4 linked regions of the Struthio camelus genome follow. The protein of the gene in region 2 binds, or shares a complex with, the protein of the main gene of each other region. Links are inferred from orthologs where the notes say so. Each region holds a gene or a part of one and is shown on either strand. Other genes may lie near its edges.

Evidence for each region.
Region 1: ALYREF (region 2) and EIF4A3 share a complex: the UniProt entries of both Homo sapiens proteins name them as parts of the ALYREF/THOC4-EJC-RNA complex. The link is inferred for Struthio camelus from reciprocal best matches to the Homo sapiens genes ALYREF and EIF4A3.
Region 3: ALYREF (region 2) and THOC1 share a complex: the UniProt entries of both Homo sapiens proteins name them as parts of the transcription/export (TREX) complex. The link is inferred for Struthio camelus from reciprocal best matches to the Homo sapiens genes ALYREF and THOC1.
Region 4: ALYREF (region 2) and THOC5 share a complex: the UniProt entries of both Homo sapiens proteins name them as parts of the transcription/export (TREX) complex. The link is inferred for Struthio camelus from reciprocal best matches to the Homo sapiens genes ALYREF and THOC5.

The regions. Positions count from the first base shown.
Region 1 is NC_090944.1:139,884,978-139,892,570, forward strand, and holds the start of EIF4A3 (eukaryotic initiation factor 4A-III), read right to left. Parts: upstream 3,004-7,593; 5' UTR 2,846-3,003; coding exon 2,674-2,845; intron 2,342-2,673; coding exon 2,269-2,341; intron 1,278-2,268; coding exon 1,211-1,277; intron 155-1,210; coding exon 92-154; intron 1-91. UniProt on the Homo sapiens protein: ATP-dependent RNA helicase. Involved in pre-mRNA splicing as component of the spliceosome. Core component of the splicing-dependent multiprotein exon junction complex (EJC) deposited at splice junctions on mRNAs.
Region 2 is NC_090960.1:401,418-409,048, reverse strand, and holds the start of ALYREF (THO complex subunit 4), read right to left. Parts: upstream 3,008-7,631; 5' UTR 2,988-3,007; coding exon 2,757-2,987; intron 2,490-2,756; coding exon 2,358-2,489; intron 1-2,357. Other genes in the region: ANAPC11 (anaphase-promoting complex subunit 11), read left to right, coding at 3,216-3,324, 3,583-3,728; NPB (neuropeptide B), read left to right, coding at 4,339-4,557, 5,028-5,156. UniProt on the Homo sapiens protein: Functions as an mRNA export adapter; component of the transcription/export (TREX) complex which is thought to couple mRNA transcription, processing and nuclear export, and specifically associates with spliced mRNA and not with unspliced pre-mRNA.
Region 3 is NC_090943.1:120,102,853-120,110,486, forward strand, and holds the start of THOC1 (THO complex subunit 1), read left to right. Parts: upstream 1-4,621; 5' UTR 4,622-4,821; coding exon 4,822-4,914; intron 4,915-7,143; coding exon 7,144-7,217; intron 7,218-7,322; coding exon 7,323-7,383; intron 7,384-7,634. UniProt on the Homo sapiens protein: Component of the THO subcomplex of the TREX complex which is thought to couple mRNA transcription, processing and nuclear export, and which specifically associates with spliced mRNA and not with unspliced pre-mRNA.
Region 4 is NC_090958.1:5,143,050-5,150,263, forward strand, and holds the start of THOC5 (THO complex subunit 5 homolog), read left to right. Parts: upstream 1-4,208; 5' UTR 4,209-5,415; intron 5,416-6,207; 5' UTR 6,208-6,234; coding exon 6,235-6,330; intron 6,331-6,945; coding exon 6,946-7,089; intron 7,090-7,214. Other genes in the region: NIPSNAP1 (protein NipSnap homolog 1), read left to right, coding at 348-421, 1,629-1,777, 1,961-2,006, 2,294-2,388, 2,639-2,709, 2,796-2,936, 3,020-3,051, 3,257-3,351 and 2 more. UniProt on the Homo sapiens protein: Component of the THO subcomplex of the TREX complex which is thought to couple mRNA transcription, processing and nuclear export, and which specifically associates with spliced mRNA and not with unspliced pre-mRNA.

The sequences.
Region 1 (7,593 bases), on a different chromosome or scaffold from region 2:
GACTACCTAAGAATTGACCCCAGGCCTTACGCGTGCTTTACAGACAAAGAATGGGAAATCCAAAGGTACAGTTCATTTTAAATGCTCCTACCTTCTGAATCTGTACAGCCAACTCCCGAGTTGGGGCTAAGATCAATGCCTGGGTCTCGCGAACCTGATTAAAACAGCTCAGTTAATCACATGGCCATGGCTGATCAAGCTCAACCGAGATTACAGATCCTACAGTGCTCCACAATGTCACGTTTGAAGGATTAATTACAGAGTTCTGTGCTAAAACCTACTGCTTGGAAGGGTCAGTTCACCTAGAAAGCTGCTCCCACACAAAGCGTTTACACAGGAACAGCTGCTTATGTAAGTTACTTTTGACAAGATGCAGTTCTTCATTTCATCACCTCATTTTTCATTCCAACCTCGTTTCTGAAAACAATTATAAAAGCGAGTGTGCTTTTCTTGTAAAAGAATAAAAACAAATTTTCAAGTGACTTAACTTTCATACTTTCAACTCAGGCAAAAAAGCTTTGCATTGTTCAAGGATGCCAAGACAATGTTTTAAAGTATCATATTTGCGAAATATTTTGAGCGCTTTACAGAGAGGAGGTGAAAAGCTGACCTCTCCATTCAGAACAGGGAGCTAATAATTATGTCCCCAAGCAATACCAAGTGAATGACAAAGCTTAATTTAAGGGACTACTGGTCCACAGAAAATCATGCTAATGTTCAAGTGCACCTATATAATAAGTTGTATTTCAAAAACATTTGGGCGAACAAAATACTCCTGACTAGAACAAAAATGAACATCCGTCAGGCAAAAATCTGGCTCGACTCTGTGCAATATGTGCCACCTGTTCGTGGACAGGTTGATGATGATGTTAGGACTGTTTGAGGACAACTGTCTGCTGGAAGATTAATTTAGCCATCTAATGCTGTCAATAAAAGCATCTGGAAAAGATTAGCTGTTAAAAGGCAGCTTTATAATTGCAAGATTTTATCTGAACTTTTTATTCTGTCAAGGTGGGTTTAACAGTTAAATCCTGACAGCAACAGAGCGTGATGAAATTTTCAGTCAGAATTTTGGCCGAAGGTCACTGCCCATAATTAAAAGATTTCAGTTTAAAGCTTCATTCCTTCACTCTAGCCAAATGAAGGCTTTTATAATGAAAATGCCAGTGATCTACTTTAAAAATTCTTTTAACATGTGCTGCGAAGTCACCTGTATATCTAGGCACTGCAGAACAGAGATGGAGAACGTTGCTGTCTTCCCCGTTCCAGACTGTGACCTGAGAAAGAGGTGTTTGGTAAATACTTTTTCTTCTGAACAGCTAATAGAGGCAATTTCAACATACATCTCTCACCCCTCTGCCCAAAGGTAGCTTTCTGCCATTTGTTCATTGCAAAGAAGTGAATATTGCAAACAACAACTTGCTAAGACAAGTTCGACTGGTAAGAAAAACAGCTTTAAGAAATGTAATCTCAGGGCTAGAGTACTCTCTACTGCAGGGTCCCAGCACTGTCACGTTTACCCCTTACTGCACCAGCATTTCAACTTTCTGCAATTTGCCTTGCAAGATTTTCTTTTCTTTTAAAGTAAAGCAGTAGATATGCTACAATTCAGAAGGCTATTGATTTCCACCAGTGACTGAGAAAATTTTTTTTTCAATTGGATGTATACCCTTTGTTTCCGGAGACAAATACAAGATCGTTTCTACTTACTTCTTTTCCCTTGACGAGAGACCGCACGTGTCTCTGTACTTCTCTAGCTTTGCTGGAAACCACTCCCAAGAGTCTCAGACCCCCGTTTATTCAGAACACACAGCATCTTGGCTGAATGTTTATCACAGTGGCACATCTAGAACATCACCCACTTGGGTTGGCTAGATATTACCAGCGCTGTCAGGAACACTGTCTGCATGTCGGGTGGCCTGTTTCACCCTACAGCGTTTACGATGTGATTTCCCCCGTCCTCTGCCACGTCAAGCAACGGCTGGGAAACGCCATCGACGCACCTCACCTCCAGCTGCGGGCACGGACCGTCACCGGTGCTCGCAGCGCTGACCACGCCAGCTCCGAGCAGAGCCGCGTGCAGCGCCAGCTCCTCCCGACGGTGGGCGGTTCATCTGGCGTCCAGCACCCTCAACTCACTGCACATCTTTTTGGGCAACCCCCCCCCCCCAGCTTCATAAAGACAAACAGGTGGGTATTTCCGAAGCCTTTGGAGATCGGAGCCCGGCTCTGTGCACTGGGGGGGGGGGGGGGGGGGGCTCCACTTACTGTGCGATCACGTCCCGCCCTTTGATGATCTGCTTGATTGCTCTCTGCTGGATGGCCGACGGCTTCTCGAAACCTGCCAGCAGCGGGAGGAAAGGGCGGTGAGGCAGGGCGGCCAGGGACACCCCGGTCCCCCCCCGCCACGCCCCCTCCGCCTCCAGACCACGCCCATCCGATGGTGGCCACGCCCCCAACCCAGACCACGCCCCCCCCTCCGCCTCAAGCCCCCACCTGGGAACGCTGCGTGCGCCGCCGCTCCAGCGCGCATGCGCGCGCCGCCCCAACATCCGGGCGCCGCCGCCGCCCGCCCCTCCCCCTCCCCGCGCGCCTCCAGCCCCCTCCCCCCGCCGCCGCCGCCGCCGCGCTCCCGGTTCTTCCCCTCCCCCCCACCGCCGCACCGGGCCGCACCGTAGGCGTAGATGCCGCGCAGCAGGTCCTCGCGCAGGCCCATGGTGTCGAAGGTGGGCGTCACGTCCACCTCCTCGCTCGTCTCGAACTCCACCTTGGTCATGTCCTCCTCTTTCATGAGCCGCTTCCGCGCCGAGCCGGTCGCGCCGCCGGACCCCGCCGACCCCGACATCGTTGTTGAGGCCCGTTCCTCGCCGCCGCCGCCGTCTCCCCCCTCCCTTCCCCCCCGCGCGCACGCAGCGGCACCGGCACAACCGCCGCCACGCACGGAGGGCCCGGCCTGGCGCGCATGCGCCACCGCGGGGGTGGGACGGGCGGGACGGGCGGCGCGCATGCGCGGCGGGGCGGCGCGGGCGGCAGGTAGGAGCCGCGCGAGGCGGCCCGGGCCGGTCCGGTTGGGTCCGGTTCTGTCCGGTTTGGTGCGGGCGGCGGCGGCTCCGTCTAGTCGTCGTGTAGGCAGGGGCGTGGTGGGGCTGCGTTTCTGCTGCTGCTGACTGAAATATTTTACCGATTAAGGCTGAGCGTTTGCTTTGTTGGTGGTTTTTTTTTTTTTAATTGTTATTATTTTTAGCGGCAGGACTCCCGCTCGCTGTAACGGCCCGGAAGAGCTGTTCTCCTCTCCTCTCCTCTCCCAGCATGAGCTCTGGATGAGCGCTCTGAGCCCGCTTAAGGAAAACAAAAAATGCCCCCGAATGGAGCTGTCAATCAGTGTTTACACACCTAAATTAAAAAAAAAAAATTACTTAGGCCAGGTGTCTCCCGAAGGTGCTGAGCGCCCGGCGCGTCGTAGCCCTCGGTCAGGCTCTTGGCGCAGAGAGATTTCCCCGGCCAGGAATCGGCAGTTACCGTGGAAACCCCAAGCAGCCGTGCTCCCGGCGAGGAAATAAAAACGGGCCTTTTTCCCAGCCTGGTTTGTTTTCATTTGCGTTGCTTTGGCCATTCGTACCCCAAAACGCATTGAAAGAGGCTTCCAGCCGACGCGTACCCTGCAAAGAGTTGGCCGGCGGCTGAGAGGCCGGGGCTGGAGCGGCGAAGGCGTCGGTGGCTTGTGAGCTCGTGAGGTGACGGCCAGCGTCAAAGAGTGATGAAAATACCTCCGCTCTGCGCCGGCCGTTTGGGAAAAATCCTGCCTCTCTGAGGCGCTCCGAGAGAAACGCTGCGGTCGGACGGCTTGCGTTGCCTGCGTGCTTTTGCCATCTCTCGTTCGTGGAGGCACTGCAGGTAGCGCGGGGGCTCGCCCTTGTTTCAAAAGCGGTATTTCAGAAGGTGCCTGCATGTGGGACCCGCTTTGCCCATGCGCACCCTGGCGTCCTGCCCCAGACCCAGCAGCACCCCGAGCAACGTGCGGGTGGAGGACGGGCTGGCTCTCAGCCCCCGTATCACCCCCGTGCAAGCCCAGGGGTGTCAAACAAGGGAAAAGAAAGAGATTTGTAGAGGAAGCTGAGAGAAGCCAAGAGCAAAGCGTGCTTTGCTTTGCCTGGCTCCAGCCCTGTCCCTGCCGTTCCTCTGCCCGTGTCCTGCAGGCAGCAGGGGTCCCGTTTTGACAGAGCTGGGTCTCCAGGTTTGCTTCTGGGGCAGAGGGTTTGGATCTGGGCGTGCTGCACCCCACGTCTTCCGTTCCTGTCTGGGATTTCAGCAAGATTTACATCTTCCATCTTCTTTTCCCCTTTTTCTCCTCCTTCAGCAGTGATTTTTCTTTTTCATCCTCGTCCTCTTTCCACCAGTCTAGACAGCTGCTTGGCTGATCTCTGAACAAACCCTTCAGCTCTCACGGGGGAAGGTTCTCTCCTACTTGGCAGGACGGTCGTTGAGTCCTGAGCTAGAATTCCATTTGACGTGCCGAAACAGAGCTGTCATGGAAAAATGGGTGTTTCCAGGCCCAGCATGTCTGAGGGTGCCTGGGGTGCACCAGGTGAACGTGGGTCGGTACCGCTTCAGTTGCGAGCGGACACGGTTGTGAGGAACTGGACCCTTGAGGAGTGACAGCAGGTTTGGGGTGCGTGACCCACGCCCCGGGGCAGAGAGCGGCTGACGTTCTTTTCTCTTTCTTTTTACAGAGCCCGAAGGCGAACGAAGCGGGTGAAAGCGGTAAAGGCCCTGGCAACGTGGTGGGAAGGCTGTTTTCAGGACGGCAGACTCGTACCATGTTTTCACCTGGAAGCCTGACCTAGGCTGCAGCCCCTGCCGTGTGCCCAGCCCTTGCTTGGACGTGGCTGAGGCTCAAGTCCAGGCTCTCCGGGAGGCGCTTGGTGTGGGAGGCAAGGGATTCCTCGGCTGGTGCTGGTCTGCAAGAGCGTTTGGCTGAAGGAGCTCAGGAAGAAGGTGAGCAGGGGGGAAAGGCTGGGAGCCAGCCTGTTGCGAGAGGACTGGCAGGGGGATTTGCTGTGCATTGACTGCGTACAGTCGAAATGATGGTCCGAAGCAACCTTTGCATCCTGCAGAGCACAGGCACTGGTCCTCAGCCGGTGTACTCCAGCACAGCTTCATTTCCCTGGAGGCAGAGATAGCTTCCTCTGGAGAGGAGCTGCTCTGTAGTGGTGGGAAGGGAACTCTGAAGGCCTCTGGTCTAGTCCTCTTAACCGCAGCAGGGCCAGCTTCCAGGCTAGACCACGTTGCTCAGGGCTTGTCCAGTCAAGGTTTGAACATCTCCCAGGATGGAGACCGCACAGCCTTTCTGGACCTGTCTCAGGGATGCACTACACTCAGGTGGAAGAATTTTTTCCTTATGGCCAGTCAGGGTTTTCCTTGTTGCAGCTTGTGCCTGTTATATCTTGTCCTTTCGCTGTGCATCTGAGAAGATTCTGCCGTTTCCAAGATGAAAGGCTATGTCCAGGGTGAACGCACATCTCTTTGGGGTCCTGGGGTAGGCATGGGGGCCTTAATCCCTTCTCTCCCAGAACCGGAGCAGGGTTCAAATGGTTTTCATGCTTGTGTGGATCCACCACTGGGCTAGTGTTTCAGGCTTGGCGGAGAGGAGTTTGATTCTTTGTACGTGCATGGAAGAAGTGCAGTGTTAATTTTCAAAGAGGGTTTTTTAATTGTGTGTTCTGTTTGCACTGCAAAAAATAAAATGGGATTTCCTTTAAGAAGCTGGTTTGGATGCTTGCAGCTGTGTTTCTGAAGCTGGTAGGTTTCTCTTCTCTTGACCTCAGTCTTTAGGAACTCAAGGATTTATTCACTAAACTGGACAAGGATGGCAGAGTGAGCACTGAGGAGTTCCAGATTGGCTTTTTCAGCCATGCAACGCTCTCTTCCCGGGGTACACCAACGCCTCTCAAGCAGCCAAGGCTGTTAGCGCTTGACGAGATGAGTTTAAAGGAAGAAGGCTTTCCTTTAAAATTAAAGATCCTGGTTCAAGGCCTTGATCTGCAGTTGCTTGGAGGTGATTTCCATTAATTATCAGGATCCACAAGTTATTGCCAGTTCCTTATGCAGGACAGTGTGTAAGGGCAGTGTGACACAAACGTCCTGCAGAGAATCCAGACAGAAATCCAGCTGTCATGCCTGGGAAGGTTTCTCTGTCCTTTTCCCCCCCAAAAAGGAGGCTGAACAATGGGGCTCTGCTGAGAGTGATTCAGGCCAAGATGTTTCGTTTCACGAGGGGCTGATTTAAGAGCCGCTAATGGAGGTGACTTGGGCACCTGAGGGCAGTGATTTGGGGACAGTTTTCCACTTGCCGGGCAGTTCCTGGGGATGGTCTGGACTTCACCGCTGTACGGTAAGTAAACGACTCCTTCCAGAGCTGTCTGAGTAGTTAAAACCCTGTGCAGGTGGATCGGGATGATAATACAGAATAACGCAGCGCTGCCAAGCCTCTTTTTTTTACTGGAGAGAGAGGAATGCACTTCATGGCAGAGGGGAAAAATGACCGCAATTCTAACATGGGCTTCAGAAGTGCTGACATCTCTGCACCTTTCCTGACTAAGGTTGTCCCCCGTTTAGTGCACAGAGCAAACTTCATCCTGCTTTAACTGATGTAAAATATTTCTCTCTGCTTAGTGCTTTTAATCCCAGGGACTGTCAAGGTGTTTGCAAATGCTTTAGAAGTAACTGCAACTTCAGTGCGTTAAGGCAGAAGTGAATAGCTGATTCCCCCAGCAGCCAGAGGAGCTCCGTCCAGGATCCTGGGCAAAACTACTCTTTTAAAAAAAAAAAAAAAAAAAAAAAAGACTAACACAAAGCGTTTCAGGCTCTTTTGGCTTACAACTTTGAGGTAAGTGTTGAGTGAGGCAAGGCATCCAAACTTGGTGTGAAATTGGTACTCTTGGAGATGTTACCAGTTGTGCATGGGGTCTCTGGCAATTGGGTGCTGCTCTTTGGGTCAGTTTGGCTGAATCGCGCTTGCCTCTGAAGTAGGCAGAGTTAAGCTGCCTCCAGCCCAATTTTAGCTCCTAGATCAAACAAAAAGTTGTCTGGCAGTCCTAGTCTGATGTTTTTCACAAGACCATCTGATACTATATAACTTCCAGTGTTAGTGTTTCTGTGGATGCCGAGTTTTCTGGGTTGTTAGGGAGATCAGACTGCTTTACCGCTTGCTCCTTTTGGCTGCCTGAGGGACAGTTCAGGACATCTCACCTCCTGGCAGCTTGGTGTTATTTGTAGAGCTTTCTCCAGTATCTGTGGGGTGCCTGCAGCCTCTTTTTAGTATTGAAAGATTCCGGGTTTTCTCTGCTAGTTTTGCCCTGCTGACTGCTCTCTGTTTTCTTTCCAGGCATTTGTTGGATGGGCAGGGAAGCAGCTTGTCCTTCCCGCTAAGCTGTGTGGGCCCACACCTCTGCTCCAGCAACGGCACTGGATTTGCCAAGTCTGAGCTTGTCGCTGCTGTTTGGCCCCAGGAAGTGGTGCAGAGCCAAGGAGATCCTCAGGGTCTCTAGTGCTGCCTTGTCTGGCGGCAGTGAGTGAAGCAAGCACAAGGCCTTC
Region 2 (7,631 bases):
CTCTGAAAGAGCAAACATAAGCCCAACAGAAGAACTTCAGGAAGCGGCTACACACAGCAAAAGCAAGTAAGACACTACTTGCATACTTGGGTGTGTGCATACAGCCAGTGGAGCAGGGTCAAGGGGTGTTGACCTGCCGCTTCTGCCAGGGAAGCTGCACATCTTTGTGCCGAGACTACATGTACAGGGCTGCTATTCAAAAATAATCCAGACCCTAAACCATTTCACAGAGGAAGAATGATCTTTATTTCTATGAATGCAGTGATTCACAAGGTGATCATAGTTTCTATGTGCTGGACTTCTCTTATAAAATCTTTGCTAGACCAGTTACAGTTTAAAAAAACCAATCCTGTCATCTTGGAGCTTAAGAACATATCCCAAAAACTGAGCTTAGGAGGAGTCCTCTACTGAAGTATGCCCTCTTGTTACTCACTGTCTTGAAGGGTGGAAACGAGCAGAGGCAGCAAGAGAGCCACAAATTTTGTTTTGCGCGGGTGCTACTTTTGGTAAATCAACTAGGGACATCTCATAGCTTTGTAAGTTTCTATTATAGCTAGTGCCTCGAAAGCTCAAAATCTACACCAGAATTGTCGGATGTCCAAAGGGAGACTGCCTGCCACCTTTCATGTTATCCGCTGCAACGCCTGAACATTATTCCAATATTTCCAGTATTTGAAAAGAGCAACACAGATATTCTTTTACTTCCTAAGCAAACAGCACTCCAGGCAAGATTGCAGGCCAGCTTCTACCTTGTATTCATTTAACTGACGTGCACGTTAACACAACACTCTGTACAAGCCATCTGGAATACGGAGCAGCACACACAAAGAGCTGCTCAACAACGTCTTAAGGAACAGCCTCTCTCACTGTGCTACAGAAAACCCTGGTTCTCCATGAGCAGCAGTGGTGGGTCGGGGTATGACACTATATATGTCTTCTCCAAGAGCTTGTTTTAGGTTCCTTCCAGTCACCCATTCCTGGCAATACAACTCCCGGGCTACCTTGTACCTCATTAATGACCCGATTAGCATAAAAACAAGGAAACTAGCCAGCACAGGAAGTGCTAAATTATGAGGCAGTAGTAACAAATAGGTACAAGCCTGTTAAGTCAGCTTTGCTGCTAAATAAAACACACGTGGAACTTCATCAGCACCTATAGTCCAAAACAACAGCGAGAAAGACATACCCATCTGCCACACACACACACACACCCCTACAAAAACTAGTTGAACTGAAGCAACTTCACAGACTCACGTTTTATACATGAGGGCCTGACTACAGTAAACAAGGAACTTATTTCAACCAAAGCTAACTTTAAATAGGAAAAAAGAAGTGGCCTTAAGTGCATTACCCAAACAAACGTCAACTCGGTGACCTGAAAAAAACACTCGCTCTCAATTCTCCAGACGTAGCCAGCTTAACTTACAAGGTAGCTGAAACGAACTAACAGATGAAAAAGCGTTTATTTTCTGGCAGGAGGCACAGGGACCAAAAGCCAACTTAAAGTGAAGTGTTTTGCAGTGTAACCTAACTAGCACAGCCCCCTAGTGGGGATGCACCTTACATTTGCAAACGTTTGTGGCTGTACAGTTTACTGCCCATACATTACAGCACCCTTATAGCTAGGTGGGTCCACCAATTTCAATCTCCGTTCTGATCAATTCAGCCATAAAGACAAATCACACCATATACCTGACTTAAAGCATCTGGAAGATTTTTAACCAAAGCAGAGCTGAAACTACGACATGGCAACTCAGCTAGAAAATTGAACTACTGTAAGAAATACAAGGTAATTATAGATATCACAACGTAAGGGGGAATGTCCCCCCCGACAAATAAGCCTTCTTAATTTCACTGATCGATGCTGACATAGGAATACTTTCACGCTTAATAGAACGTGGCTTTAGAACAAAGAAACTATGTAAACAAGTCCCATAAAAACAAAGCAAATTGATGTACGTATAGTATAGTTACTGAATTCACAGGGAAATGCAACTTGTGTTTACATAGTTTATACAAAGTTCTCAAGCCACAGATGGATTCAGGCAAACACCAGTATATTTTCCCACACAAACATTCTTGCTAATGCTAATAGCCGCAGATCAGAAGAGGCCAGCAGCTTCTTTGAATTGCAGTTACCTTCACATCCTCAGAACAACTGCACAAGAAATACTCATGGCACAAATACAACCACAAACCTAGAGTTAAAGGATTTGGAGATCTCCCCTCTGGGCCACAGAAAGCAGCGGGACCTCAAGAGCTACAGCATCCCCAGGAAGCGCCCGAAGCAGATGCTATGAATGAATCCCCCCGCCAATGCCGGCCGCGCGCACGACGGGGCCGCCGGCGCCGCTCACCTGGATGTCCGCGTCCGAGACGCCGAAGTCGAGATTGGAGACGAGGAGCTTCCCGCCGGTCTCCACGCCGGCGCCCGCCCCGAAGCCGCTGTCGAACAGGTCGTGCTGCCACTTCTCGGGCAGCTGCTTCGGCTGCAACGAGACCGCCACCTCGCTGACCGGGGCCGGGCCGGGGCTCCCGCCGCCCGCCACGCGCCCCGGGGCCGCCGGCGCGAACAAAGGGCCGCCGGGCAGCCCGCCGCCGCCGCCGCCCCCCGCCACTGCCGCCCCCCGCCCGGCCCGGCCCGGCCCGGCCCGCCGCCGCCGCTGCCCCGGCCCAGCCCCCCGCCCGGCCCGCCGCCCCCGGCCCCGGCCCCGCGCGCGGCTGCGCCGCCGCCGCCGCCCCGCCCCGCTCCGTACCCGGCTGTAGGGCGCGGGCCGGTTCCTGCCGCCGCCCCGGGCCATCACCGGCCGGTTCCGCACGGGGCCGCCGCCGCCCGCTCGCCCGGCTCCCACAGCGCCCCGGCCGGGCCCGCCGCCGCGGGTGGCGCCTCCCCGGCCCCGGCCGCCCCGACCGCCCCGGCCGGCGCCCCGCTGGCTCCGGTTGAGCTTAATGATATCGTCCAGGGACATGTCCATCTTGTCGGCCATGATGGCGGCTCCGCTCCGGGGCCTGCACTTCCGGCCGCGCTGCGCCCACGCCGGAAGCGGAGGGGGCGGGGCTGGCGGCGAAGGCGCGGCAAGCCGCGCGCGCTGCCGCGCGGGGCCTTATGGGGCGGCGGCGGCTCCGGCGATGCGGCCGGGCAGGGGGCGGGACTTCCGGCGGGGAGGGGCGGGACTTCCGGCGGGGCGGGGCGGGGCGAGGCGAGGCGGGCGGCGATGCGGGTGAAGATCCGCGGCTGGAACGGCGTCGCCTCCTGGCTCTGGGTGGCCAACGACGAGAACTGCGGCATCTGCCGCATGGCCTTCAACGGCTGCTGCCCCGACTGTGAGTACCGCCGCGCCGCGACGTGACGTGACATGCCGTGGCGTGGCGTGTCGAGGCGTGACGTGGCGTGGCGTGTCGAGGCGTGACGTGGCGTGGCGTGTCGCGCCGCGCCGTGACGTGCCTCGCCGGGGTGTGATGTGATATGTTGCGGTGTAACGTGACGTGGCATGCCGTGACGTGACGTTGCATGTCGTGACGTGGCGTGGCATGTCGCGGCATGACGGGACGCGCCGTGACGCGCCGCGGTGTCTGTCCTAGGCAAGGTGCCCGGCGACGACTGCCCGCTGGTGTGGGGTCAGTGCTCGCACTGCTTCCACATGCACTGCATCCTCAAGTGGCTCCACTCGCAGCAGGTGCAGCAGCACTGCCCCATGTGCCGCCAGGAGTGGAAGTTCCGCGAGTGACGCCGCGCCCGGGCCCGGCCGCCGCCGGCAGAGCCGCCCTGGGGCTCGGGGCCGGGGCTCGGGGCCGGGGCTCGGCCCTGGGGCGGCTGCCGCCCCGCTGCGTGGCGCTGCGGTGACGGCCGGGCCCCAAGCTGCGACTTCCCTACCTGCGCTGCTGCCCGTAAACTCGCTGCTGTGATCTGCTTGTTCCAGCGTCCCTGGCGCCGCTGGGCTCTGGAGGGGCTCAGACCGCGGGCAGAGCCGCCGGCCCCCACGGCGGGGCAGGCAGGGGACGCGGGGTGCAGCCTGCGCCAGCCTGGGACCCCCGGGCGGACCCGGCTCCCCACGGGCTGGACGCGCTCCGAGCCTCCCCCCGGCAAAGCGCAGCCCAGCCGTGTCGGCGGGCGGGAGCCCTGCCTGGGGCAGGTGCCAGGACGCCCCAGCGAGCGGGGCCACTAATGAGCGGGGCCAGGTCGAGCAGCTCCTTCCCCGCGGGCAATGCCACCCCGGGGAGGCGGGCTGCTCGGCTGCGGCGGGGGAGGCGCAGAGGAGGTGGCATGTCACCCCCCCCCCAACCTGCCTATAAAGGCAGCAGCAGCAGCCCTGGAGCTGCTGCAGTCCTGCTGGCACCATGCACGCTGTCCGCTGGCTGGGGCTGGCCCTGGCCCTGGCCCTGGCCCTGCTGTGCCGCCCCGCTGCGCCTTGGTACAAGCAGGCGGCCGGACCCAGCTACTACTTGGTGGGCAGAGCCTCGGGGCTGCTCTCCGGCATCCGCCACTCGCCCTACATCCACCGCTCCGACCCCAACGGTGCTGCCGAGCACGGCCCCCGCGTGCAGCTGCACGCTGCGGTGAGTACCGGCGCCGCCGCGCGGAGCTCCGGGGCACGGTGGGCGCTGCGGCGGGGCGGCTCCCCGGGTCCTCTGTGGGGCTCTGCAGCACGGTAAGTACCGGGACCTCCGTCAGGGTCCTGGAGTGCCCCGTGGGGCTCCGCACCTTAGCGAGCATCCGGAACCGAGTCGTCTGCCTGTGGGGCACAGGGAGCTCCCATCCCCTGGCGAGGCTGCGGGCTGTGGCAGGTGCCAGGGTGCCCCAGCTCCCCTGGCAGGGCTCCAAGGTGTGGATACATACGGGGATGGGGAGCACCCCAGGGCTCCCAGGTGCCCCTGCCGCACTCTGAGCCCCATCGAGGACCAGGACTGGGGCCACCCGCCCGCGAGGCCCCGGGGCATGGAGGGCTCCCTAGCGCCCCCCCCCCCCGCCCCCACAGCGCCGCGCTCCCCAGAGACGCCAGTCCCACCGCTGACAGTCTCCCCTGCAGGTGCCGTGTGTGACAGATGTGTCCCCCAAGCTGCGGAGCTGCCAGGTGCTGCCCGGAGCCCCGGGTGCCCTCCAGTGCAAGGCGGACGTGACCGTATCCCTGGACCCCATGGAGTGCACGGATGTGTGAGCTGGCCCCAGCGCGACCTCACTGAGCCCGCAGTTCTGACAATAAATGCGCCTGGACTGGATCCATCTCCTGTGTCCTTGTGGTGGCATTGGGGGTAGCGGGGAGAGCTGCTGCTCTGTCACAGACGGTCTGTGGGGTGGGGGAGCACAACTGGGGTCTAGGATGCACCCGCCGCACCACGATCCAGGCGGAGCAGCACCAGCCTGCGGCTGTACCTCCTCTGGAGCGGCAGGAGCTTTAGCAGCCCCCCACCCCGTGCACAGGGGGATGGAACCAAGCCCAGGCCGCGAGGAGCCCTGGGACTGGCCGCAGGGCCTGGGGCACCGGAACAGCCCAAGGAGGTGTCCTGGTGAGACGGGTGCACCGGACTGGCGCGGCGCCTGCCCTGCCTGGGAACCAGCCCTGGGGCGCAGGGGACGCCTGAGCCTGGTGCGCTCCCATGCCCAGCACAGCTCATGCCAGCTGCTGCAGGCGCCAGCCAGCAGAGCAGCTACAGGGGACATATCTGCTGTAGCTGCTGAGCCCCTCGCTGCAGCAGGCGCCTGGTCACACAGGGAGGCCGGCTGCCCCCTGAGCCCAGCCCCAGAGCGGGGGCAGCACCCGACCTGGGCTGGGTGCTGTGCCCAGGGCCCCGAAGCCAGGGCTGCGAGGGCAGGGACACCCAGCTGGGACGGTGCCAGGGCTAACGGCAGCTGCAGGACGCGGCGTCGCAGTGGCCCAGCCGCCCCTGTGTCCCCCCCACCCCCCCGGCAGGAGCCAGGCTGGCGCAGGCATGTGGCAGCCAAGGGGCGGCAGGGAGGTGAGCTGGTCCCTGCCAGCCCCTGCGCAGGGGCCCCAGAGGGCTGGGGACCGGCATGAGCGGCTGGTGCCCTCCAGGCACCCACAGCAGCTTCGAGCCCCTCCATGGAAAATCATGTGCTGACTGTGACTGGCAAATTGATGTCCCTGCTCCCCACCCCCCCCAAAACCTGCACCCCGAGAGCTGCCATGCTCATCAGTGCCAGCGGCAGGGCACAGCCCAGGGTCCTGCGCAGGCAGGGCAGCAGCTGATACAACAGACATCGCTTGCGGTTGTCACTGACCAGCCTTTCCCCGGGCAGAGCCCACCCAGTCCCGTCCGTGCTCGCCACAGCGCACCTCCCGCCCCGGCAGCACCTGCGTGGTTGGGCAGCCCCCAGCCCCGGCGCCATGGCCATCCCCGCGCAGCGGCAGCCGAGCCAGGGTTCAATCCTCCACCGGCCCCGGGGGACCCTGCCCGGCACCACCCCACAGCGCAGCCCCTCGTGCCCACACTGCGCCCCACCGCCCCAGCTCCGGCACAGGGCCCCATGCACCCGGCCGTGCTCGTGGCAAGGAGCCGCCATCCCAACCCGCCCGCCCTGCGTGGCCCAGCCGGACGCTGCAGGAGGCCCAGGGGACACCAGGGACGGGGACAGGCGTCAGCGCAGATGCCCAGGCTGCGAGCGCCTGCCGGAGCCACCAGCACCTGCTGCTGAGCACAGCGCTGCGTCCCCGAGCTCGGGCACCTCCGCAGCGCTGGGCTGATCACCGCCGGGCCGCGGCGACGGGCGCAGCTTCCCCCTCCGCTCTCCTCGGGGGCCAAGCACTGCACAGGCCCCTTCCAGCCAGCAGCCACAACGTGCCGGTGCCACTTCCAGGCTGGGCAAGCGGCTCCTCCGCTGCCGCGTCCCTCGGGGCTGCGGGCGCACAGCCGGACACGGGGCTGCGTGCAGGGCGCGACGCTCTGCCAGGAGCCAGGTCCGGGCTCTGGCCGGGGCAGCAGGCGCCTGCATTGCCCTTTCCGTGGATCCCTGCAGGGCTGCAGCCAGGGCGAGTGCACAAGGCCACAGCTGCACCGGCACCTGGCTCATCCTGCAAGATTTAATTAAGGAGCCTGTTCCAACCCTTCCAGCAAATTAGAGCATCATCAGGTGTTGGCTGCGCTGTGCGGCACAGGGGAGGCTGCCGAGGCATCGGCTCAGCAACCAGACTCTGGAGCTTCTGCAGTTGCCGGGGGGGGAGGGGGGGGACATCAGTAAACAAAGTCACAAACTTGAAATTCATGAGCTTTTATCCTACTTTACTGTGTTAATCTTTGGCCCTTGGCGCTCACAGGATGTCAGTGAACACAAGCGTGGAAGGAGAAGGGCCCAGAGGCGCTTGGAGCGAGCAATAGCAAATGCAAAAGATTTCTGCTCAGAAAAGGCAGTAAGGCCACAAGGAACAACAGCTTCACCAGGCAAAATTTGCTCCATCTGATCAAGCGAAGCTGAAGTTTTCCAGGCAAACAAGTGATACCAGTGGGCAGGCACCTGAGCGCTGTGAGAGAAAAAATTAAATAGTTCTGTCATTTTTTAATAACAACTGTACCTGTTTGGGGCCCAGAGGCAGCTCCTTTACATAGAAATGCTCAGCCCAGGGTTGATTTGTCACTGTGGCCGAGTTGTTTGTTTTTAATTACGAACTCTGCTGCAG
Region 3 (7,634 bases), on a different chromosome or scaffold from region 2:
CGACATCAGCGCCAGAAGTTGAACCACAAGCCAAAACTGCAGCCACCAAACCGAGCGGCTGTGACTTTGCACCTAGGTTTTCTGTGCAAACACTTCCCTCCACTGGTAGAATAACTAACTGCAACCACGCTACTCAAGCAGGAAAACATAATGCTATCTATACTTTGAGAGATTATTTTAATATTTAATTTAAATAAGAGTACATGTAATTTTAGTACTTGTTTGCCTCTTCCAAAAAGGAAAAGATATTGGGTCTTTTATTTTTCACTACTGAGGAAACAGGAGTTTGGCAGAACGTGAGCTTTTCAGCCAGATATAAAATAGCACACCCAGGAGAACGGGGAAACCACACTGGGGCAATATGCTTGGCTTTCTTTAGGTTTCCCGAATTAAAATGCAGGCTAAAGCCACGACGATCCTTCACACACACAAAAAAGGGAAAACATCAGGGGCATACCATTTTCTAGTGCTTCTGCCAGTTCTGTCAGACCCTCCCCTCACAAGCAACTTTGCTGATTGCAAAGTCTTCTCCTCTGACACCTTCCCCCCGCAGAAACACCTCGATAGCCCCCCACAGTGCCAGCCCAGTCTGCTCTGCCTCCGCAAAGCAGGAGCGCAGACAGGAACGGCCGGGCCAGCGCAGGCACAGCGCGGCTGTGGGTGAGCCAACCTGCTGACCCAGCTGCCTTAAGCGGCAGCTATGAATGATCCCTTCTCTTAGCAAGGCAGCGAGGGTTAATCGCGGCCTGCTGGTGCCTGGCAGCGGAAAGGCAGGCCTTTAACCCCCAAAGCTCCGTGTAAGAAAGGACTGCGGTTCCAGAGCGGACTTTTGCTCGCAGCGGGCTACTAGAAATCAAAGCATGTATGGGAAAGCTGCAAGCAATAACTCCGAGGCGTTCCCAGAAAGCGTGGTCCCTTCAGGGATTCAGAGACAACAGCAGAAGACAACCGCGGAGACACTGAAGTGAGGAGCCCGACATTGGCAGAAGGGCTGCTTGCTCATGTCATACCTCAGGCAGCACACCTGACTGAAAGCCTGACGTTTTGCTATTGCAAAATGGCAAAACAGGTGATGCAATATATGGAGGGCTTCAGTTCTGAGCTGAATTCGTCAAGCTCTCCTAGGGTTTTAACAGAAAATAAATGACTACTAAAGAAGGAGAGTTAAAAGGAGATGAAACCAATTGGCTGGTTGGCTATCTGCAGTGCAGACCAAGCCAGCAACGCAAAAGAGCACACAAATAGCCAATATTTCTCTTCTTGGAGAAAAAAATCACTATTTGAAACTCAGCTGAAAACAATGTTCTTGCTCAACAAACGACCACTTGTAACTTAGCTGAAAACAGTGTTCTGACTCCACTGGGAACTTCTTCGGTATTGTTCGGCTGACATGTTTTTCCTATTTTCAAACTGGTAGGAGTTGTGTGTGGGGAAATATATTTGTTATGGAACTCTGCCCTTTGCAAGTTGTTCGTACGCTGCTGAGGGTGGAAATGTCAACAGAAATAAAGTTCTCCTCCCGCCTTCCCAGGAGACCATAACAGCAACCTGAAATCTTACCATGAGATTTAGCTAACAAAAACTACAGGATGAGTTTACTTGTATTTGAATCAGGACAATCTCAGCCTCTCTTGACAGCAAAAGAGGGAAGGGGTGCAGAAAAATGAAAATATCTACCCCATTTTTCAGCAAGACAATTATCTATGCATCTTTTCTAGGTGTTTTGTATAGGATTCATCTCACTTAACCTTAGGTGTCTAAATTTGGGCAAGTGACCTGGGCTTGTGTTCTGATGCATGCAGAGAAACGGGTATTCGTCAGGTATTATTCCTCTGGCTGATTTTAGATACTTAGCTTCGGCTGAGATGGCTCATGCCTTAGAAATGAGTCTAAGCCAGTATCTCTTCTTCAGTACAAAGGACAACAAGGATAATGTGCAGGACAGTGAGAGGAACCCCACCGCTTTTTCTGTGAATGCAATTTTAGACTGCATCCAGTGCCATTTTAGATTTGGAAGTGGCCTCCCATCTGGCCTGCAATGGCTGCTTCAGAAGGACCTAGGTCTCCTGATCCCTAGTTCCTACCTGCCAGCCCTGTGTAGGTGTCTCCAACAGCCTGGGATGTCTGTAATGGCACCGGGCACCTTTGTTTACCAACTGCAATTGCTCCCTGTATTTCTAACTGTAAAGTAGAACCGCAAGGGTTTTTAAATCTATTTTCAATATGAAAACTAGATAATTCCTGGCAAACTTTCACGCAATTATATATTCTGAGGGAAGAGGGGGGAGGAGGTTTCCAAATAAGTAAGACAACCTTTTCCTCTTCTTCCAGTTATTTAAAATTATTTTTTGTGTTTTGTGAGGAAAGAAAGAAAGGAATGGAAGGGTAAGAAGGATGGGAGAGATTTTTAAAAATAAAAGCCAAAAACAGAATGATAGCAGAGTTTTTCAAATTTAAATCCATCATATAATCGTGTTTGATTTTCTCAATTAAAAAAAAAAAAGCGATATGGAAATACTTCTGGCAAAATTGCACTCTTCATGATGTTCTATACTTTCTTACGGACACTACCTATTTTTGGCCAGAGCTACAGTAAATTCTTCAGAAAGGGATAATATCGGAGGACCTGAATTGGGCCTCAGCTCTATTCCCGTAGGGTCAGAGTTTAGTGTCCTTAGGAATCATCTCCAGTGGAGTACAACAGAAGGGAGCCAGCCTTCTCCCTTCGGTGGTCAGAAACCAATGGATCAGCTGCTTGTGGAGCTGCGGTCCAGCAGTGACCAGTAGCGGACGGTTAGAGAAAGAGCGCTGAGAAAGGACACAGTATGAATGGAGAGACCACTCACTCGTGGGGGCAGCGCCCCCCTGGTTTCTGGCGGACGAGCACTCCCCTCCCAACAAAATAGAAGTAGGGGTTTCTACATACAAGGGGAAGAAGCCTACCTTCATTAAAGAACAGAGTTTTAACTCTCAGGGTCAAATAAATCCATTTGATGCAACATGCATTCACTGTATTGAGGACTTTAAATATAAGGGTAGCCATACATCCAGGAATGCAGGCATTTTGCCTACACTGTGACAGCCTAGACAGACTTAGACTGGTTTATTTAGTGCTAGCCACATACCTTGAAATTTATCACCAGGATGGGCTGGTGGGCTCAGCCAAATATCTGGGTATTTAATAACAGTGATTGTTTTTGGAATTTCAGCACTGGTACGAGCAAAGTTTTTTTCTGTCAGGAAGGGGAGTCAGATGCTTCTGCTTTGCCAGCAGAAGAGAATGCAGGATCAAGAAGTGATGGGAGAAAACCGTATCTCCAGTTAGCTTTGAAGTGCACCTGGGCATCCTAAGAAAGGATAGATAGGAGTACATTTGGGAGGGTTTTATGGCTGCATATCACATAACAAGGTTTCCCAACTAGTAGTTGTGAGCCTGGAAATGCAAATGGGAGAGGGATCCCAAGCCTGGAAATGGATTGTGAACAGCCAAGCTTGGGAACTACCATTACTTAGGATAGCTAGAAAATGTAAAGTACTTAAAGGCATTGAGCCACACTGAAAAAGATACATGTCGAAATAAATATTTATTAATTTGTGCAGGGCTATTTCAGACATTTACCTATGAAACACTCAGTAAACTCCCATTAAAAGTGATTCTCAAAAATGTAGCTGGAGAATATTGTTCAACCTATGAGTTATCATTGAGGCAATTTTACCAATGACATAAAAAATTCTGAGTTATATTTAATGTTACTCTTCCTTCAACGATACTTTGAACGTGACGGTAGATTGTGACTCTGATGTCATTATTAGAAAAAGTAACACAACTTCATTACCTGAAAACCCCCTTCCCTGCACGTTAACCTTTTACAGTTGTTTTTATTTTGACAACATCCTACTAACGGGATGTTCAGTAACACATTCAGCCTCTGCGAAGCTTGACATGCTGCTGAAATGGGATGTGGCCCAGGAGTGCATGGTGGGAGACACACCAACTCACTGCCCTCTTGTTCACATGTCAGGCAGATTGCAAAACCCAGTAGCTTCCTTACAAGTGCTACACGGGGCTCTAAGGATCCCACCAGCACTGGAAAAGACAGAAGGAATACTCAACTAAGGTCCATTTATAGATCGAATAGGTACAGAAACAGGTATTTTCAGCTTCCTTCAGCATAAAGTGGCAGAACTTTTGGGATAACGTGACAAACTGTTACAGGCCATGTTAATTTTGCATGCTTAATGATGATCATAATGCCAATTTGTGCAATAATATTTTCCGCTTCCTTTGAGATCCTAATTACTCAAACGAAGCAACAAAGGAAGAGTTTGTGTTGGGGGGGGGAAGTTCCTAAATTGTTTTTCACCTCAGAATGAAGAACGAATAACCTAAAATTCATGTATCTTCCTCAGAAGACGTAAGGGTTATTTTCACCCAGATAGAGATCGCTCAGAAATGACTCATTCACCAGATGAAAGTGTTGACTCTGGAGTGATACAGGTTATCAGAAACGTTCTCCTTCTTTGCATAACTATTCTTTGACTGCATGCTTTTTAAAAAAGCGCCGAGTCACATAGGGGACGTAACCCACCGCCCCACCCGACAGCAAAGCCAGCCCCCCACGGCCACGCCCCCCCCCACGGCCGGCCCACGCCAGGACCCTCATGACGCTAAAGTCAGGCGTGAGGCGAGGGTGACCTGCCGGCACCGCCCACGGGCGCCCGCGGCCTCGCCACCACGGGCAGCCCCCCCACCCCTGTCACGAGTGGGCGGGAGCGGGGGCTTCGCCGTGGTTCTCGCCGGCTGGGGGGGGGAAGGGGACGATGGCGTCATCAGCGCGCGCCGGGGAGCGTCGGACGGCCGGGACGATGTCGCCGCCGCTCTTCAGCCTGCCCGAAGCTCGGCTCCGGTTCACGGTGAGCGCGGCGGCGGCGCGGGCTCGGCCGGAGCTTCTCGCCCCTTCTCCCGCCATCCGGGAGCGGGTCCGAGCCCGGCCGGGCGGTAGGGCCGGCCGCTTCGCGACGGTGTAGCCGCTCGGCCTCGGCGCGCCGCCCCTCCCCCTCTCTTTCCGCCTCGGCGCGCGCACCGCACCGCACCGCCTTTGCCGGGCTGTGTGCAGGCGGCGCGCGCCTTCTCCGCCAGTCGCCCCGCGCGCTCCCTCGGCCGGCCGTTACCCGCCTCCAACGGCCCGCTGGGGCGCGCGCCGAGCCCGCCGCGCTCCCTCGGCCGGCCGTTACCCGCCTCCAACGGCCCGCTGGGGCGCGCGCCACGCTCCCTCCTGTCTCCCAAGGGTCTGGCAGTCCCTCCAGGAGCCTCTCAGCGCTGCCCAGCGTCCCAGTGTAGAGTCATGAGCGTGGGAGGAGAAGGGAGGCTGTGCCCAGCGAGTTTTCTGGGCTCGTTTGGGTTTCCCAAGTGAACAGGGGTTGAGGAAAGGGGGAGCAGCAGTGAGACAGCGGCAGGTTAAACGGATGCTCGGGGCTCAGGTGTGCAGCTGGATGGAGGAAAGTACCACGTTGAAGGCTGAACTCACCTGCCCTCCCTTCTGCATGAATGGACCTGAATGGAGTGCAGGGGAGAGTTTGACTTGACGTGTATGCCAATTTTTTTTTTTTGCTGGCATGAAGGAAGTTGGAGGAAAGTGTACAAACTTTACTTCTTTGGTCTTTGATGCAAAGAGATAAACTTGACTAGCTGGAGAGAGAGAGAAAACTTTCACTGCATTCACAGTGTTATAAAGGCACGTAGTAATGTTATGACAACAAGAGTGCTAGTTTTATGAGGTCAAGACAAATGTAAAGGGCAGAAGAAAGGACATTAGAAATCTATATTAATGAACTTAAGTTTTGCTATGCTTTTGTATAACGTAACATACAAGTTGATACCTCACACCATTGCCTACCGCACCCGATTGCTGATTCACTAAGACTGAACAAATCAGTGGCCCAGTGCTGTGTTCTCTCTGGTGGGGGAGAGGGGATCTTGACAGATGGTTCTTCCCTTTCCTGTTCTTGAGTGAGTTTACCGTCTTAGTGCTGTTCTTTGTGAGCATTAACTCCCATTAACCTGTGTTTATGCTATCATGCTAATGCATGATAGGCCTTGTCAGGTTATGCATGATATGACAGTAAAAGTCTCCTAGTTTCAGTTCACCTTGTCCTAGTTGCATATCCAGGTTTTTTATCAATATCAGTTTCATACAGAAGAATCCTCTATCTGCAAAAAGTCTGCACAGCAGCAGCTAACAGCAGAACAAAAATTCGAATGTTTATAACAGATGCAGCTGAATGATGCTTAAGTCCAGTAGAGCATGTGTTAGGCACGGTAGGCCTGTGGCAAAACTTCAGCTGTGTTCTAAGTACTGTAGCAACCCGTTATAGCTGGGATATCTTTCTGAAGAGGAAACTGTGTTTTCATGTAATGAGTGCTAAACTCAGTGGTATAAATTTTTGGGCAGGAGTTTTCGTACCAGTTTAGCCTAACTAGGTGAGCTAAAATGAGAATAGTATCCGTGGTTTAGTTAGCTAAAATTAATTTAAAATTAAATCAAAATCTGATGTAACTCAACGTTTGCAGTAAAACATGCCACAGCTTGTCGCCCTTATCTCCTTTGCGCCTCGACTGAATGATGCTTTTTCCTTACTAGAGCAGACTGAGCTGGATGTGTACTCAAGTGGTGGTGCAATTTATTGGACTTTCAAAGTAAGGTGTTGAGATTTGTACAGAAATAGTTGAGGCACAGGCAGTTATTCCGTTATATTGATTTCATTACAGGGAATTTTTAGACCAGCTTGCTAACAGAAGTAATGTTTTTAAACCACCATGAGTTGCCTGTCTGGCAGGTGAAAGTTTGTGTATGGACCTTTCAACTGTTCTAGGTGCAGCATCAGCCATAATAGCATGCTCCTTTATATTTCACTTGGAAGTGTTATTTTCTGCATACCATTAGCCCTAATTTGAGGTATGATAATCTACTAGGTAATATGGGTAAGTTGTTAATATATTTTCTTTTGTAAATCGATGCATGGTATGTCACAAATAGATTCCTTAGTATTTCTGCTTTCTGTCAGATGAAGGAAGAAGGTGATCCATCAGAGTAACTTTGGTTGCCTAACGGTTTTGTAATTTTTTTTTTCACCTTTTGGTAGACTTCCACTAGAGAGGCTCTGAATAACAAAACCATCAAACCCTTGTTGAATGCATTCAACCAGATTCCTGGGAGGTAAGTAGCTGCCACTTGATTTTAAAAAGTGGCTATTCAGATCATTTTTACTAATCTTTTCTTTAATAGTTGTTATTAACTAATGTAGAATTTTTGTATTTGCAGTGAAAATGAAAAAAAGTGCACCTTGGACCAAGCTTTTAGAGTTATTGTAGAAGAAGAAATAGTAAGTATTTCACACTGCTAGAGCCATCTGTTGATGTAAATGAAACTTCTGTTTGCAAGTTAACATATAGTAATTTAACAACAACTTAACTGAGTTGTAGAAAATAGTGTTTATTAAAAAATATGAACTATGTAAAAATTACATAATTAAGATTTAATATAGACAATTAAAGAAGATTGGTAGGTAGGATGAAATTGCTAATTTTACAGATGCCGCACTGCTGAGAGATGCTGACTTAGCCTTTTCCAGCA
Region 4 (7,214 bases), on a different chromosome or scaffold from region 2:
CGAGGTGCCCTGGTTGATCAGGCTGCAGCAGAGCAGGGCGTCGCAGCCAATGAGGCGCCGCCATCTTCGCCTAGCTCCTCTGATTGGGTGTTGCCATGTGACCGAGGTGAACGGCCTCTGCCCAGCTCGTGCCCCTGGCCGCGCTCTGGGACCCCCCCGCCCCCGGCAGCCAATAGGGCCGGCCCTGGGGCGTAGCCACGACAGCATTGGGGTGGGCGTGGCAAAGCCCGGCCCAGTACGACAGCCAATCAGAGTCGCCGCTGGAGAGGGTGTGTGGCCGGCGCGTAGCCACGCCCCTGTGCCGAGGGAGGGGTGGGTGGCCGCCGCGCGTGGCCCCGTTGCGCGGGATGATGGCGGCGGTGCGGGTGGCCAGGAGCGCGGCGCGGTGGCTGCGGGCGGGCGGCGGCGGCGGCGCAGCGCGGTGAGAGGCGGCGCCGGGACCCGGCACCGGGACCCGCCCCGACCCCGGGGACCCGCCTCTGCCCTCAGTCCCGGGCACCGGGGTCCAGCCTTGCCCCCTCAGCCCTGGTCTCTGTCCCCTTCTTCCCCCTTCCCTCAGTCCCCCATCCCTTGTGCCCTCCTCCCCTTGTCCCTCTGTCCCCTTGGTCCCCCTTTCCCCCATCCCTCTGTCCCCCCGTCCCCTTGTCCCTCCATCCCCCATCCCTCTGGCCCGCCATCCCCCCGGTCCCCTTGTCCCCCCATCCCTGCCCTCCACCCCTGCCACCCCCGCCTCACGTCCCCATCCCCTCCGTCCCCAGGCCCCCCTCACACGGGGCTGCCCCACGCTGGCTCCCCGCCCCAGGACATGTCCCTGTGTCCCTGCGCCAGGACACACGCAGCCACGGCCGGCCTGGCAGCACCCCGTGCTGCAGAGGGGGGTTGTTTACCCTGCCCCCCCCCCCCACCCCGTGGTTAATGTGTTACCAGCTGCCGTGCAGCGGGCCAAGGTCCGGCCGATGACACGGCATCCCCGAGGAGGCTGGCGCAGGGCAAGCCTCCCCTGCGTGCCACCGCCCCACCGTGGCCCCCCCCAGCGCTGCCTCCCCGAGCCTGCAGGCAGCCCGGCGGGTGCCACCGCCGGTGCCCCCGGTGTGGCGCAGGGGCCTACGCCCTCGCGTGATACCCAGGAGCCTCTGCCCTCGTGTGACACCCAGCCACGCTGCCACGAGTGTCCCTCGCCCTGGGGAGGCTCTTCCCCGTGGGTTGCCCGTGCCCTGAGTGCCTGGTGGGCTGCCCATGCCGGAGCGGGACGAAAGCGGGTGCCAGGGAGCCTCCTCCTTCACAGGGCCCCAGTGACACGTGTGCTAGTGGCACACGCGCGTCCTGGCTCCGACGGCAACATGCCACCAGCAGCCTCAGACAGGCCAAAAAAACCCAAAATCCAGCGCTGGGGGAGCTGCTCCCTGGTTCCGAGCGCAGCTCTCCTGCAAGGCTCTGGACAAGGCATTTTCGCGCCTCAGTTTCCCTCTTTGCAACACAAAACGAATGAAACCAGCCTCCCACAAAGCCCTGTGAGCCAGCCAGTGCTGTCTGTGAGCGGATGCTGCTGGCTGCCTGCAGACTCAGGAAGGCAGAACTGCAAGCAAAACTCCCTCCTCGTTCTTATCGTAACCGATGTCGCCCCCCAGGGTGACACCGGCGTCTCGCAGGGGCTACGCGGGGACGACCGAGGGCAGCTGGCTGCGCTCACTCTTCGTGCACAAGGTGGATCCCCGCAAGGATGCTCACTCCAACCTCCTGGCCAAGAAGGAGACCAGCAACCTCTACAAGATCCAGTGTGAGAGGCGCCGGGGGCAGGCAGGGCCAGGGGCACCTCGGCACAGCTCCGCGGCACCTCCGCACCCCGTTATTTGGCCGTTTGCCCCATTTCTGTCCCCAGCTCAGTGGCTGCTCTCCACTTGGGGCAGCTCCTCCCCGGGCCTCAGCTCCTGCTCTCACCCTCTCGCCCTCTCTCCCACAGTTCACAACGTGAAGCCCGAGTGTCTGGACACCTACAACAGCCTGACGTGAGCCTCCCGTGCGGGTCAGGGTCACCCAGCGTCCCTGCAGGGAGCACCCAGGGGGCTACTGAGGCTGGTGCAGGGCTGGGGGAGCTCACACCGAGCTGCTTCAGGAGCCCCCGGCAGGTTTCTTATTCTGGGCCTCAGTTTTCCTTCCTGTGAAATGGGTGCAGGGAGCTTCCCGCAGGGGTGAGGCCAGGTTGCGTTGGGATGCAGCCCCTGGCTGCCGCCTGCCATCTCCTGGGCGTCCCCTGGGGCACAAGGGTCCCCTGCAATCCCCCATGTCCCCGCAGGGAGGAGGCGCTGCCCAAGCTGCACGCGGACGCCGACTACCCCTGCACGCTGGTGGGCAGCTGGAACACGTGGTATGGCGAGCAGGACCAGGCAGGTCAGTGCGGCAGCATCCCTGCAGCGGGGGCACAGCAGCACTGGGGCCTCGGCGGCCTCCCGCCCTCAGGGAAGGGCCGTGTGGGCAAGGGAGGGTACAATTTTGGGGGGGAAAGTGGCAAAACAGAGCTTTGAGAGGGTGCTGCTGGGAGCTATGCACGGCTCTGTCCTGGTATCACCCGGCCGCCCGGGAGCGAGTGCTGGCGGGTCCCTGGGCTCGGTGGCACCCCATAGGTGCCTTGTCCTTGCAGTGCACCTCTGGCGCTTCTCCGGCGGGTACCCGGCACTCACCGAGTGCATGAACAAGCTGAAGCAGAACCAGGTAGCACTCAGGGCGGCACCGTGCCGGGGTGGGGGGGACACTGGCGTGTCCCTGGGCATCCCCATGGCCATCCGGGCTCCCCGCAGGAGTACGAGGCCTTCCGGCGCGAGCGTAGCAAGCTGCTGCTGGCCCGTCGCAACCAGCTGCTGCTCGAGTTCAGCTTCTGGAACGAGCCCCTGCCCCGGCCTGGGCCCCACGTCTACGAGCTGAGGACCTACAAACTCAAGGCGAGTGGCCCCACGCGGTGCCGGGGGCAGGGGTGCAGGGAGCCACCCGCTCAAACGTTGCTGGTTTGCTTCTCCCTTTCCAGCCGGGGACCATGATCGAGTGGGGCAATAACTGGTAAGGAGACAGCCTGGTCTCTGCCTCAGTTTCCCCCCTGCCCCAGGCACTGCCTCAGTTTCCCAGCTGGTCCCGTCCTTGGGGGCCGTCCTCCACTCCCTCGTTCCCTGCACAGTCCCTGGGGCTGTGGACAGAGGAGGAGGAGGAGGAGGAAGAGGAAGGCTTCTGGCACCCCACAGCAGTTCTTTCCCCCCACCCCGGCCAGGGCTCGGGCCATTAAGTACCGGCAGGAGAACCAGGAGGCCGTGGGTGGCTTTTTCTCCCAGATCGGCGAGCTCTACGTTGTGCACCACCTCTGGGGTAAGTGGGCACCCAGGGGCACCCGTGGGTGCTGGGTGCTTCTGCGCCAGTGTGAGATGCTCTGTGTTGTTGCCCCCCCCAACCTCGCTCCCTGCAGCATACCGGGACCTGCAGTCACGCGAGGAGACGAGGAACGCGGCATGGCGCAAGAGTGGCTGGGATGAGAACGTCTACTACACGGGTGAGCGTGGCGGCAGGGGCACCCATGGGTGCTCAGTGTCAGGGGTCACCCGCGGTGACGTCCCCCCGCCGCCACTGGCTTTGCAGTGCCGCTGATCCGCAGCATGGAGTCGCGCATCATGATCCCCCTGCGCATCTCGCCCCTGCAGTGAGCCGGCACCTCAGCACCGTGTCGCCTTCCGTGCCCCTGGGGCACGCCGGGGTCCCCGCAGGGCACCCAGATCCCCTACCTGCCCTGAGCACCTACTTGGGGTAGCCCATGGGGATGGGAGCTGGGGGCGCCCCTGCTTTCCTCTGGGGGCTCGGCACCATGTCACCTCCTGTCCCCCTTGTCCTGATCGTCCCCCAAGGCTCACTGGGGCAGGGCCAGGGTCCCGCGTGGCACCCAGCTCCCCTCGTCCCCGGAGCACCCATTGGGGACCCCTTGCAGGGACAGAGCCAGGGACACACCTCAGGGTCAGGAGCTGGGGACACCCCCCATGGGGGACGGGAGCCAGGGACACCCCACAGGGGACAGGAGCTGGGGATCCGCCATGGGGACGGGCCCTGGGGACACCGCATGCAGGACAGGAGCCGGGGACACCCCATGGGTGCTCCCACTCTGGGGTCTCCCCCCTGCAGGGTGTCCCTGGCACCCACCGCTGTCCCTGGGGTGGGAGCACCCATCTCTGCGACCCCAGGAGGTGACAGTGGTGTCAGGAGGTGACAGCAGTGGCCATGCACTGCCAGTCCTCTGCTCCCGCTGCTGCTGGGAGCCCCAAGTTCTTTGGAGGACAGTGTTAATTAGCACTAATGAGCCCCGGGCCATGGCCGGGCCCCGGGGGCTGCACCCATTAAACATTCGATGTGCCCATGGGTGGCCCTGTCTGCGAGTGGGGGGCCGGGGTGCGTCCCAGGGGGGTCAGCAGTGACGAGTCCCACCGGGGCCGCTCCCATGCGCACAGGTGTCCCCTGCACCACTGGGGACCCCCCACCCTGTGGTCCTCAACCTCAACAAGGTGCACCTTCATGCCCGTAGGTGCCCCCCATGCCGATGGGTGCCCTTCCTACACCAGGGCCCCCCTCCCATGTCTGTGGGTGTCCCCCAATGCCAATGTGCCCCCCACCCCAAGGAGCCTCCCAGTGGCCATGGATGCCCCCATACATCAAACCCCCCCTATGCCCATGGGTGCCCCCCAAAGCCAATGGGAGTCACCATGCCCAAGGGTGTCCCCCTGCACAAAGGCCCCTCCCATGCACTTGGGTGTCCGTCATTGCTAATGGGCCTCCCCCCACCCCAGGGAGCGCCCTGATGCCCATGGGTGCCCCCCATTCACAAGGCCCCCCCATGCCCATTTGTGTCCCCCAGTGCCAAGGGGGACCCTCACTCCAAGGGCCCCCCCATGCCCAAGGGTGCCCTCACCCACCAGTGGACCCCTATACACCAAGGGGTGCCCCCCAATGCCAAGGGGGACCCCCACCCATGCCTGTGGGTGTCCCCCATACATCAGGGCCCCCCTCATGCCCATAGGGACTCCCAAAGCCAATGGGACCCCTACCCCAAGGAGCCCCCATGCCCATGGGTGCCCCCCACACACACCAAGAGGACCCCCATGTCTAAGGGGCTCCCCTGCACCAAGAGGCCCCTAATGAGCCCCCTCAGCTCCCCGCCTCAAATCCGCTGGTGCCTCCAAGGGGCACCGACCTCCGGGGCTGGAGGTGGGGCGACTATAAGCCCCGCCCCTTTGGGCCAGACCCGCCCCTCGGCCGGGCCCCGCCCCCCTCGGCCCGCGCTCCTCCCGGCGGGCCTTGCCCGCTAGAGGGCGCCTCTGGCGGCTGCCGCTCTGCGCCGCGCTCGTCTGCTCCGTGACGTCACATCCGGGCGGCGCTGAGAGGGGCTGACCGGTGAGCGCGGGGGGCCGCGGCCGAGCGGGTCTGCGGCGGGAGGGGGCTTCGCCGGGGGCAGCTGGGGCGGGGGAGTGTTGGCGAGCCGGGCCTGGGCCCGGTCAGTTGGGGGGGAGGCGCTGAGGCCCGGCGGGGGAGGTCCTGGGGGACCCAGTGCGCTGGAGACCGAGGGGGACCTAGGGCCTGGTGGGCAGTCCTCCGTGAGTTGGGGGCTGGGTTGGGGCAGGGAGGAAGCTGCGAGGCTCCGTGATTTCGGGGTCCAGCAGGGGCCCAGGAGAGCTGCGGCAGGGGGGAGCCCGAGGCCCAGCGGGGTGGGGAACAGGGGACCGGGAGAGCTGGGGTGGGCGGGAGGCCACGGGGCCTGCTGAGTTGGAGGCTGTGAGGGAGCCAGGGCTCGGTAGGTTGAGGGCTGGGAAAGCCAAGGAGAACTGCAGTTGGGGGTGAGAGGCTGTGGGGATCAGTGGGTTGGGTGTCTGGAAGAGTTGGCAGGGGGGAGGCCCTTGTGCCTGGTGGGTTGGGGGATGGCAGTGGGCCAGGAGAGTTGGGGTAGAGGGCAGACCCTGGAGCTCAGCAGGTTGGGGGTCTGGTGGGGGGCAGACACCAGGGCGCGGTGGGTTGTAGAGCTGGAAGAGGGCAGAGCCTGGTGCCTAGCCTGTCGTGGGGCAGGGGGAGGGCCTAATTTATCGGAGATTGTCAGAGTTTGAGATGGGCCTGGCAGACAGGAGCCTGGGGGGCCCCATTCTGGGTGCCTCTGTCCCTCTTCACATGCTCACTTGGTTCTTTGTCCCCCAGCCCTGCCAGGCAGCTCCCGGCAGCACCATGTCATCAGATTCCAGCAAGAAGAGGAAGCCCAAAGTTATCCGCACCGATGGGGGCCCACAGGAGGGCAAGCGGGGCAAGGCCGACGCTGACCAGGTGGGGTGCCCCGCAGCCTCTCCTGGCGCCCCATGCGGGGAGGAGCTGCCTGCTTTCGCAAGGTGCTCCTGTCCTGCTGCATTATGAGAAGCTGATACCAAAACTTCCTTTTATTGGCCTCATTCCCCCACTCAGGCAGCTTGAGTGGGGTCAGAACCAGCCAAATCTGAACACCTGCAAGACTCCCACTCTCAGTTTCTGAGCGGGTTTTCTCCTCCTGGAGGAAACGCAATTCCCATGGAGTCAAATGTTGCCTTTTGGGACATAACAGGCAAGTCTGAGGCTGTCAGGTGTTTCAGGGATTTGCAGGTTGCCTTAAAACACTCCCACAAAGATCAGAATAACTTAGTTTTAGTCAAAGTGGAATTTAAGGTTGAAGAAGTAGGTGTGCAGCCTTGATAACAATCTGCGCTGGTGCAGGACAGATACTGGTCTTAATTTACAGTGATGATATAAGAGGCCTAAACTTTCCAGGCATTTGTGCCCCGGGTGGTTAAACGAGTCACTCTCCGCTGCGCAAGCCCCCTCGAGTGTGGGATGACTGGGCTGAGGCAGTGCTCAAGATCTGGTGGTTTATGTCCAGGGCACTTTAGGAGGTGTTTTTACCCCTTGCAGGATGCTCGGTACTACAGTGAGGAGGGTGAGGTGGATCTGCGTGACCCCATCAAAGACTACGAGCTCTACAAAGAGACCTGCCAGGAGCTGCAGAGACTCATGGCAGAAATCCAGGAGCTGAAGAGCAGAGGCATTAAGGACAACGTAAGGAGGAGCTGCAGTGCTTTTTCTGCATGTGCTTTCCTGTGATGTTTCTTCCTGACCCAAGAGGAGCAGGAGCCACACGGCATTCTGGGGAGAATTAGGAAAATGGGACAGTCTCTGTTAAA